Linked DNA regions of Arabidopsis thaliana. The protein of the gene in region 1 interacts with the protein of each later gene in a pairwise test. Each region holds a gene or a part of one and is shown in the gene's direction. Other genes may lie near its edges.

What was found.
Region 2: the proteins of AT1G10610 (region 1) and AT1G22490 interact in a two-hybrid assay, tested with the Arabidopsis thaliana proteins (one large-scale study listed by BioGRID).

The regions. Positions count from the first base shown.
Region 1 is NC_003070.9:3,504,220-3,509,566, forward strand, and holds AT1G10610 (basic helix-loop-helix (bHLH) DNA-binding superfamily protein), read left to right. Parts: upstream 1-1,966; 5' UTR 1,967-2,243; coding exon 2,244-2,353; intron 2,354-2,659; exon of another isoform or gene 2,660-2,812; coding exon 2,813-3,010; intron 3,011-3,089; coding exon 3,090-3,153; intron 3,154-3,230; coding exon 3,231-3,299; intron 3,300-3,379; coding exon 3,380-3,814; intron 3,815-3,917; coding exon 3,918-4,118; intron 4,119-4,196; coding exon 4,197-4,373; intron 4,374-4,461; coding exon 4,462-4,533; 3' UTR 4,534-4,781; downstream 4,782-5,347. Other genes in the region: AMSH2 (associated molecule with the SH3 domain of STAM 2), read left to right, coding at 207-269, 350-424, 518-580, 663-715, 797-971; PERK11 (Protein kinase superfamily protein), read right to left, coding at 4,782-5,024, 5,122-5,283.
Region 2 is NC_003070.9:7,938,062-7,942,301, reverse strand, and holds AT1G22490 (basic helix-loop-helix (bHLH) DNA-binding superfamily protein), read left to right. Parts: upstream 1-1,676; 5' UTR 1,677-1,812; coding exon 1,813-2,250; intron 2,251-2,716; coding exon 2,717-3,259; 3' UTR 3,260-3,705; downstream 3,706-4,240.

The DNA.
Region 1 (5,347 bases):
TGTTCCTAATTACAACTTCTAACAGAGATCTTTGCAAATTTGAATTTTTAGTGAAACTCGATCTATGCTATTGTTTAAAGTTTACACCTTGTTTTGACTTTTGTGGTCATGATTCATGGTTGTTTTGCTTCTGTTCCAGGGTTCTTCGTTTTTCGAGTTTCATGAACCTGATGGTAATTACATTTCTATTTCTGTTCATGCTGTAGGAAAGAGGAATTTTTTATGTAACCACTCTGATAATACCTAAGCAAGAATCAACTTCTAATTCTGTGAGTTATCTTAGAAAGATTATCTCGATCATTTTGTGGTATTCAAAATGAGGTGCTTACTCAGGTGCTAAAATTGGCAGTGTCAGGCTATGAATGAAGTGGAAGTGTTTTCCATTCAAAACGAAAGAGAACTCTATCCCGTAGGATGGATTCATGTATATCTCTCTCTTCTAGCTCCCTCCATGTTTAGTGATCTGTTTATCTACTTTGTCTTGACTTACTATAACGAGGTTATGCATATTTTCCAGACTCATCCTTCTCAGGGTTGTTTCATGTCATCTGTAGATCTGCATACACATTATTCGTATCAGGTACATCTCTGCTGTTTCCAAATTGCATATATACTAGGTTTGAGACAATTCTGATCTCAGTTTCCCATCATGTCATTCTTAGGTAATGGTGCCAGAGGCTTTTGCAATCGTCGTAGCTCCAACTGATAGCTCTAAGTATGTTCTTCCAAAGCTATGGAGTCAATTATACAGTCAACATATTTCCTTGATAGACTCTCAAACTGATCTTTTTGGCAGGAGTTACGGGATATTTAAGCTAACGGACCCTGGAGGAATGGAGGTACTGAGAGGCTGCTCAGAGACTGGATTCCACCCGCACAAAGAACCAGAAGATGGGAACCCAGTTTATGAGCATTGCTCAAACGTCTACAAGAACTCGAACCTTAGGTTCGAGATTTTTGATCTACGTTAAGGTAACGACTTCTGTGGACTTATCAGTAAAAAGGTTCAAACTTTATCCACTGTGGGCTAAGGATGTCAATAATAACCGTCATCATAACCACCACCCTAACCAGAACTGTATACTTGGTCTGAGAAGGCTGTCTGATTCGGGTTATGAACACAAGGTACCTTCTATTAAGCTTAGCAATGTTAATAAATTGTCATGTCCTTAGATTTGGATCAATTGGTTCCATTATGGAAGAACAACAATGACCATAGACATAAGACATTGTATTGGCGTATGCAATTGTTATATATCTGTACAAATGTATACATTGGCATCTATTTCTCCATATAACACTACATTAATATTATCACCATATTTCGCCATTTTATACCTCTTAACTTGCCAGTGATGACTGATGAAAATGGTTGAGCTTTTAAAAAGGACGGGAAAATTTTAAACTTGAGCTTTGACTTGTTAAAAAATTATTCATTTTGACAGTTTTCGTCTGATTCAAGTTTCATTCTTTTCATTTCTCATTTGATTGATTAATTAGATACAAAATAGCCATAAATTAGCTGTAATAATAATTTAAAAGGTATCTTTGAGCTCTTTTTTGGTAAAGACATATTCCAAATACCTCTCTTCACATGAAACAAGAGTACAAACCCCAAAAACAGAACCAAAGGTCCAAACTTTTCTTTTGAAAGTAATAAAGCTATCAAAGCTCTTTCCTTGTTAAAGTAAATAGTACAGAGGATGGGTTTTATCAGAAAAAAAAAAGCTAGCTCATTTCATATTGTTGAGTGTTGCTATCAAAACCCATACAGATACAGTACTTTGTTTTGCTTCAAATCCCTTTATGGCCGTTTTCAAGCACATGATAGCTTTCTTCGTACAGTCAAGAGTAAAACCTCTCTTTTTCTTACCCTATCTTCTCTCTCTACAGATGTCACAGTCACCTCTGTCACGGATTTGGGTACAGAGACTCGCAGACGATTCACTCTTCTTTCTTTCTCTCTCTCTGGGTTTTAATTCAAAAAGTGAAGTTGGTTACCATTGTCTTGTACGATCGTATATTCCCGATATGATTTGTTTTGACAGAGCAACTGCTTTGTATATATATGCCAAATATCTCTCTCTCTCTCCCTCTCTCCTTGCATCAATTTATAAGTAAGACCAAAAGAGATCACCAAAACTCAGGCTTCTTGTTTGGCTTTTCTTATTGTTGATTGAGAGAGTGAGAGTAAGAGAGAGAGAGAGAGAGAGAGAGTGAGAGAGAGAGAGAGAGAGAGTGAGATGATGATGATGAGAGGTGGTGAGAGAGTGAAGGAGTTTCTTCGACCCTTTGTCGATTCCAGAACTTGGGACTTATGTGTTATCTGGAAACTCGGTGATGATCCTTCTAGGTTCAACACACTCTCCGGTTTTTCTTTGTTATTTGTTCGTTGTTCATGTGAATCATCATCAGCTGTCTACTATTTTGTTTCAGTAGCAAAGCTTCCGTTTTTATGTATACTGATGGGTTTTTCGTGTTTGTCTTTTATCTTTGCTTTCTGAATTAGGACTTTTTTTTTTGTTTTTGCTCTGTTATTGGCTTCCTGAAACTATTTTGTTTCAGTAGCAAAGTTTCCATTTTTTTGATTTTGATTAGTCCTTAGTAACTTCTGGCTCTGTTCTATCAAATTTCTCTGGTTTCTGTTTTTTTTTTTTTTTGCTCATCTGGTTTTTGATTTTAATGGTTTATGGTTTGTTTTGCTTTACCATCTACCTCCTGTTCTTGGTTTTGTCTTGTCTAGTTTTACTAAAAGTTTGTGGGTTTTATGATCTTCATCTCGTAATTGGTATGAATTCCATTTAAACTACAGGTTTATTGAATGGGTGGGATGCTGCTGCAGTGGTTGTTATATTGATAAGAATATAAAGCTTGAAAACTCAGAAGAAGGAGGAACTGGGAGAAAAAAGAAGGCTTCTTTCTGTAGAGATGACCACAACAAGCATCGTATAAGAACCTTAGCTTGTGAAGCGCTTTCTCGTTTTCCTCTCTTCATGCCTCTCTATCCCGGGTATGTTTCCATCTATTCAACCCCCTTTCAAGTTAATTTTTTCTTCAAGAATAATATGAAGCTTCTTTCTCAATTGCAGGATTCATGGAGAAGTAGTGATGTCAAAATCTCCAAAGTGGTTGGTTAATTCAGGATCTAAAATGGTAAAAAAGACTCTTTTCGTCAGCCTTTTTTACTCGTTTGATCATAAGAACAATCTGATCTCCATGTGTTTTGGCAGGAAATGTTCAGCACTCGTGTTCTTGTTCCTGTGAGTGATGGTCTCGTTGAGCTGTTCGCTTTCGATATGGTAAAAACATGTTAGCATTTCGCATAGAAAGTCTGTCATTGGTTTTGGTGGTTACTTCATAAAATGTTGGTCTGTATCAGAGACCGTTTGATGAAAGCATGGTGCATTTGATCATGTCGCGTTGTACCACCTTCTTTGAACCATTCCCTGAACAAAGGCTGCAGTTCAGGATCATTCCCCGAGCAGAGGAATCTATGAGTAGCGGTGTGAATCTCAGCGTTGAGGGCGGCGGATCATCAAGTGTTTCCAATCCCTCCAGTGAAACTCAGAATCTTTTCGGCAATTACCCGAATGCTAGTTGTGTGGAAATTCTCAGGGAGGAACAAACACCGTGTTTGATAATGAACAAGGAAAAGGATGTTGTGGTGCAAAATGCCAACGATTCCAAAGCTAATAAGAAGCTGCTTCCTACGGAAAACTTCAAATCAAAGAACCTTCATTCAGAGAGGAAAAGAAGAGAGAGAATTAATCAGGCCATGTATGGTCTAAGAGCCGTAGTCCCTAAAATCACAAAGGTTTCTTCTGAAACTCAATGCAGTTTCTGGATCACTCTTCTTGTGGTCAATGTAGCACTTTCCATAGGATTATTATATTTATCTTTCTTTGTGCTATATGCAGTTGAACAAAATTGGAATTTTCAGTGATGCTGTTGATTACATCAATGAACTGCTAGTGGAGAAGCAGAAACTTGAAGATGAGCTTAAAGGAATCAATGAGATGGAATGCAAAGAAATCGCTGCAGAGGAACAATCTGCAATAGCTGATCCAGAAGCTGAAAGAGTTTCCTCTAAAAGCAACAAGAGAGTGAAGAAAAACGAGGTATTATTCGAATATATAGACCTTCAAGATAATCTATATCTGAGTTGTAAAATCCCACAAACTCTGGTTTCTTTTCAGGTGAAAATTGAAGTCCACGAGACTGGTGAGCGAGATTTCTTGATTCGGGTTGTGCAGGAACATAAACAAGATGGATTCAAGAGGTTGATAGAAGCTGTAGATTTATGTGAACTTGAGATCATTGACGTCAATTTCACCAGACTCGATCTCACAGTCATGACCGTTCTCAATGTCAAGGTAGTAACGTAATCACATCTCATTGCCCCTGCACGTAATCTCAGATTCTTGAATTCTGATAAACAGTTTTGGATTTATTCATTCTTAGGCGAACAAAGACGGGATTGCATGTGGAATATTGAGAGATTTACTGCTCAAGATGATGATAACTTCAATATGAAAACTCAGTAAAACAGAGTACATAACCTCAAAAGGTCAAATGTTTTGTTTGCTTCAGTCACAAGTTACTGCTAGAGATATGATTTCTCACAAGCTTTTAGGTGACAGTTTACATGTTTGAAACTATACATTCTTCTGGTTTGTCATTGGGTTTTCATTAAGATCTTTCACAAATATAATTCTAAAGGGTCGTCGTCCCTAAGAACTAAGAAAAACAAAACACAACAACTTGAGTTTAATTTATTGGTTTCAATGGTTCCGGTGACTTGTGTTGAAGGCTCGGCTCTCAGATTCATATTCATGGCTAGTGGCGTAGTCTTGGCTAGGGTAGTAGCCAGTATTAGTACCAAGATCCGAGGAATCTTCAGAGGCTCGTCTGAAAATTCGAATCTCATTACTGTATTGACCGGAGTCGTAGACCCTACTTTGACCCACTTTAACTCCGTTTGTCAGATCCGACAAGTCATCTCTCGTGTCCAGAGCTCTAACAACCTGCAAAAAGAGAAACACTCTTGATCAATCAGATGGTTTGTTTCTTTTTCTAGCTGTATATTATTAGGTCAAGTCAAGAAGTGTTTCTATTTCTGACCTGAACCATACGAGGTCGTTTTAAAGCGGAATGTCTAACACAAGACGCTGCCGTTTCAATCATTTTATAGACTTCACTTTCGACGTAATCATTCTCTAGCCGTGGATCCACTACTTCGCTGATGTCACCTTTTTCAATGGCCTCGATTAGCCTTGGACGTGCCTGCCAAAAAACCAACAAATATTCAACCCTCATGAGATTTTTTCATTTATATTGAAAACACAAA
Region 2 (4,240 bases), 4.4 Mb from region 1:
ATAACTTTTTTGGTTTTTGATGTTGAAAAGTAGTGACAAAAGATTTTTAATAGACCATCATTTTATAACATGCAAGTAAATATCTCGATTTAAATATATTTTTAATAACATCACGAAACAAATTTGTTAAAACCTGACATAAAGTGATCCCCACCGGCCAAAATAAATCTTCTATTGGTTGTGTATTTTCTGACAAACATTTGTTTTAAAGATTTTTAATTTTAATCGGATACTTAACCATATATTTGATATGGAAATACATTATATTTTTGTTTAAAGTAAAATAATAGAACATGAGTGTAACTAGACGACCCCCAACCTGCAAACAGATTATTTGGTCTTGTGGACTGGTCTACTACTATCTCACGTGCAAACTTGACGCTGCAATGTATACATTTATCTATATGCATCTATGTATCTAAATAGTAATTAGTAACCATAGATAATGGATCTAATTCCACGAAGTTGGATAGATATTCTAAGGTAATATCTGGTAGAATTTTAATTTTCAAACCAAAAAAATTGTTACCAGATGTGAATGCGTAGAACTAAAAATTAATTGGCGTAGACCGTCCTAACTGGAAACTCAAATAACTTTGTTTACAAGTAGCATGTAACTGTATATATATAATGCTTTAGAATTTTTATGGTCCAATTGAAAATTTCACATTTTCGTTTTATTGTATCACTCACTTGTCCGACTGACGTAGAATTGCACGTCTTAATTTTTTTTTGGCGAAAACGCTAATCCGCAACAAAAAAATTTGTTAAAGTAGTCCGTAACTTTTTTTTTGGTTAAAGTAATCCGCAACATGACATATTAGTACTAACGAACTATTGTTTTTTCTATTAATTTTTTGCTATATTTAGAATTTTAAGTAGTTTAGCCATCACCATCTGTGTATCCTTACACTATACATATTCGGAAAAACTCGAAAGAGGTTTTAACTGGTTATGATCACCACCAGCAGTCCAGCACCAGTTTTCTTTCACTCGAACGTCAATATAAATTCACTGCCCACTATATCAGCTTTACCATTTCTTAATAAATTATTTATTATTTATTTGATTTTGAACTAAGAAAGATTATGGGTTTTTAGGAATAGTTCCAAACAATTAACATCTTAATAATAAAATTACTATATAATAAAACTAATTTATATTAAAAACATTATGAACAATTTTTTTCTTTATTTTCTTAACCTCTAATTATTATGAACAAGTTATTTAAATACAATTGGGATGATTATTACAAGTGCACTTTATATCTCCTTTTCAGTGTTTTTTATATATATATTGGTGACAAATACATCTTTTCTTTAGTTTTATTTTTCTTTTCGTTTTTGATCTCTGCGGGAGCATTTATTTTTGGTCAACTGTGAGAGCATCAAAAAAAAAAAAAAAAAAATTAATAGCCTCACAAAGCTTCTCTCAATTCCCTTTTTAAATAAATCACACCACTTTGTTTGATCCTCATATTTCGGTTTTCACTCTCATATCTTTCTTTTGTATATTTATTTTTGTTGAAGATTCACTCTCCTATTCTTCCTCCATGCCGGTGAGTTCTTGAGAATTTAATATTTTGTAAATCAATTTACAAAAAATCTTCATATAACTAATACCATGCTTAGTTTCCTTTAGTGGGCTTAACCCTTTTGCCTTTATTTCCCCCTCGAGACAAAAAGGAGAGCGACAAACACTTCCTGTCTAAATTTTGTTTTCTCTCCTTCTCTCTCCCTCTCTCGGTTTCTCAATCTTTCTTATTTTTTCCATAATTCTGAATTTTTCTTTTCAACAATCTCCGGCTAAAAAATGCCCTTAGAGGCTGTCGTATACCCGCAAGATCCATTCGGATATCTCTCCAATTGCAAAGATTTTATGTTCCACGACTTATACTCTCAAGAAGAGTTCGTAGCTCAAGATACGAAGAACAACATTGATAAGTTAGGGCATGAACAGAGCTTTGTGGAACAAGGTAAGGAGGACGATCATCAATGGCGAGACTATCATCAGTATCCTTTGTTGATCCCTTCGTTGGGAGAAGAGCTTGGTCTTACCGCCATTGATGTGGAGAGTCATCCTCCTCCACAGCACCGGAGGAAGAGGAGGAGAACGAGAAACTGCAAGAACAAGGAAGAGATCGAGAACCAGAGAATGACTCACATCGCCGTCGAGAGAAATCGCCGGAAACAGATGAACGAGTATCTGGCTGTGCTCCGTTCTCTAATGCCGTCGTCGTATGCTCAAAGAGTAACTTACTAATTCAATGTTTATATATGCTATATATCATTTGGTCAGGGTCATTCTTAGGTATATGTGTCTTTGTTTTATTACTTGCTTGGCTGTAGTACTCATTTCTCCATAATATATTAACACAAAAGAATAGAATGAAAATGACTGAGAATATATATTGATGTTTTTATACAATATATTAACAAGAAAATCCACCGTAAATATGGAAGGGTGACGCGTTTATATACATACTAATAATCTTTGCTGTTACATATTTTAATGTATTTTTTAAAATAAAATATTATGTGTCACCAAAAATTAGAACGAGTATGATTGAGAATATTGGGATATGTTTTAGAACAATTTCGTAATAAACTTAAGCAATTAGCAATGATACGTGTGTGTGTATATTTATACATTCAAAGATTTTTTCAATCTTTATGATAACTATATGATCTGACATGAGCGGGTTTTGGTGGTAAAGGGAGATCAAGCGTCGATAGTAGGAGGAGCTATAAACTACGTGAAGGAGTTAGAGCATATTTTACAATCTATGGAGCCGAAGAGAACTAGGACTCATGATCCCAAAGGAGACAAGACTAGCACTAGCTCGTTAGTGGGTCCATTCACAGATTTTTTCAGCTTCCCACAATATTCTACAAAGTCATCATCAGATGTACCGGAAAGCTCATCTTCACCGGCGGAGATAGAGGTTACGGTGGCAGAAAGCCATGCGAACATCAAGATAATGACGAAGAAGAAACCGAGGCAGCTTCTTAAGCTCATAACTTCTTTACAAAGCCTAAGGCTCACTCTTCTTCATCTCAATGTCACCACTCTCCACAACTCCATTCTCTACTCCATCAGCGTCAGGGTACGTACATTTTCAACTTCTCATCATTACTTTGTTTGCTTTTGGGGTAATCATGAGATTAAAGTGAGTAATGACTGTGTGTGTGGTGCATATGGTTTCACTTTGTTGATTTATTTTTTTGTCTCTTATTGTTGGGGGGAAATTTTGGATTAGTACTATTGTGGTTATGCCTGGGCTTTAAAAAGGTTGTGAAGAAAAATTAAAATCATTCTCTTTGTTTTTTTCTTACCTCCTTTGGGTACTTAGGGCTGGGGCCTCAATAGTTGTGGGTCAAACTCATAATCATCATTTTGATTATTATTTTTGTCAATAATAAATTGCGTATCTTAATCGTGCCTGTAAGAATCAGGGGACCAACCTAAAGAAACGAAACACGAATATGTGTCTATCTATATCCACGAATTGTATACGTGGTGTTGTGTATTTATATATGTTTATGTATATGTTTATGTACTGTGGATATATGTTCGGTGGTCACATAATTGTAGATGAGATATGTACGGACAACGAAGTGAGTCCACCATTTGTTTCAGGAGATATTTAGCAAATAGAAAGATATTTTGTTATAGTTATCTACATCCTTCTAATTTTGTTTGTTGCAACTTTTTTCAAGAATTGTTATGTATATCTTTATTTCTTAAGAGAAAATGTGTTGGTTCAGGTTGAAGAAGGAAGCCAACTGAATACCGTGGACGACATTGCAACAGCTTTGAATCAAACCATAAGGAGGATTCAAGAAGAGACATAATTCAGCAAATAGATTATAATTAACTTGTTTTATTTTTATTTTATTTTGAAATAACTGAAATCAGTTTTCTAATTTTTTTTTTTTTTCACTATTCCTCTAATCCTCCCTATGTAAGTTGCATTTTTGTCTCTTGTAATGAATCAATGGTCATAAAGATCTGAACAAAAAAATTGAATAAAAGAAAATGGTTTAAGTCGATAAGTATGTGACATTGGGCGCTAATAGCCGTTAGGCCTACGCCTAATGTACTTCTCAGTGTTTTTAGGGTTGTGTTTAGTGTATAATTATAATGATTAATAGTATGATTGATTAATTTTTGAATTTATTTTCTTCAAAGATGAATTCGTCTTTTTCTAGAACTTTTAAAGTTTGTGGGTTCAACTTTT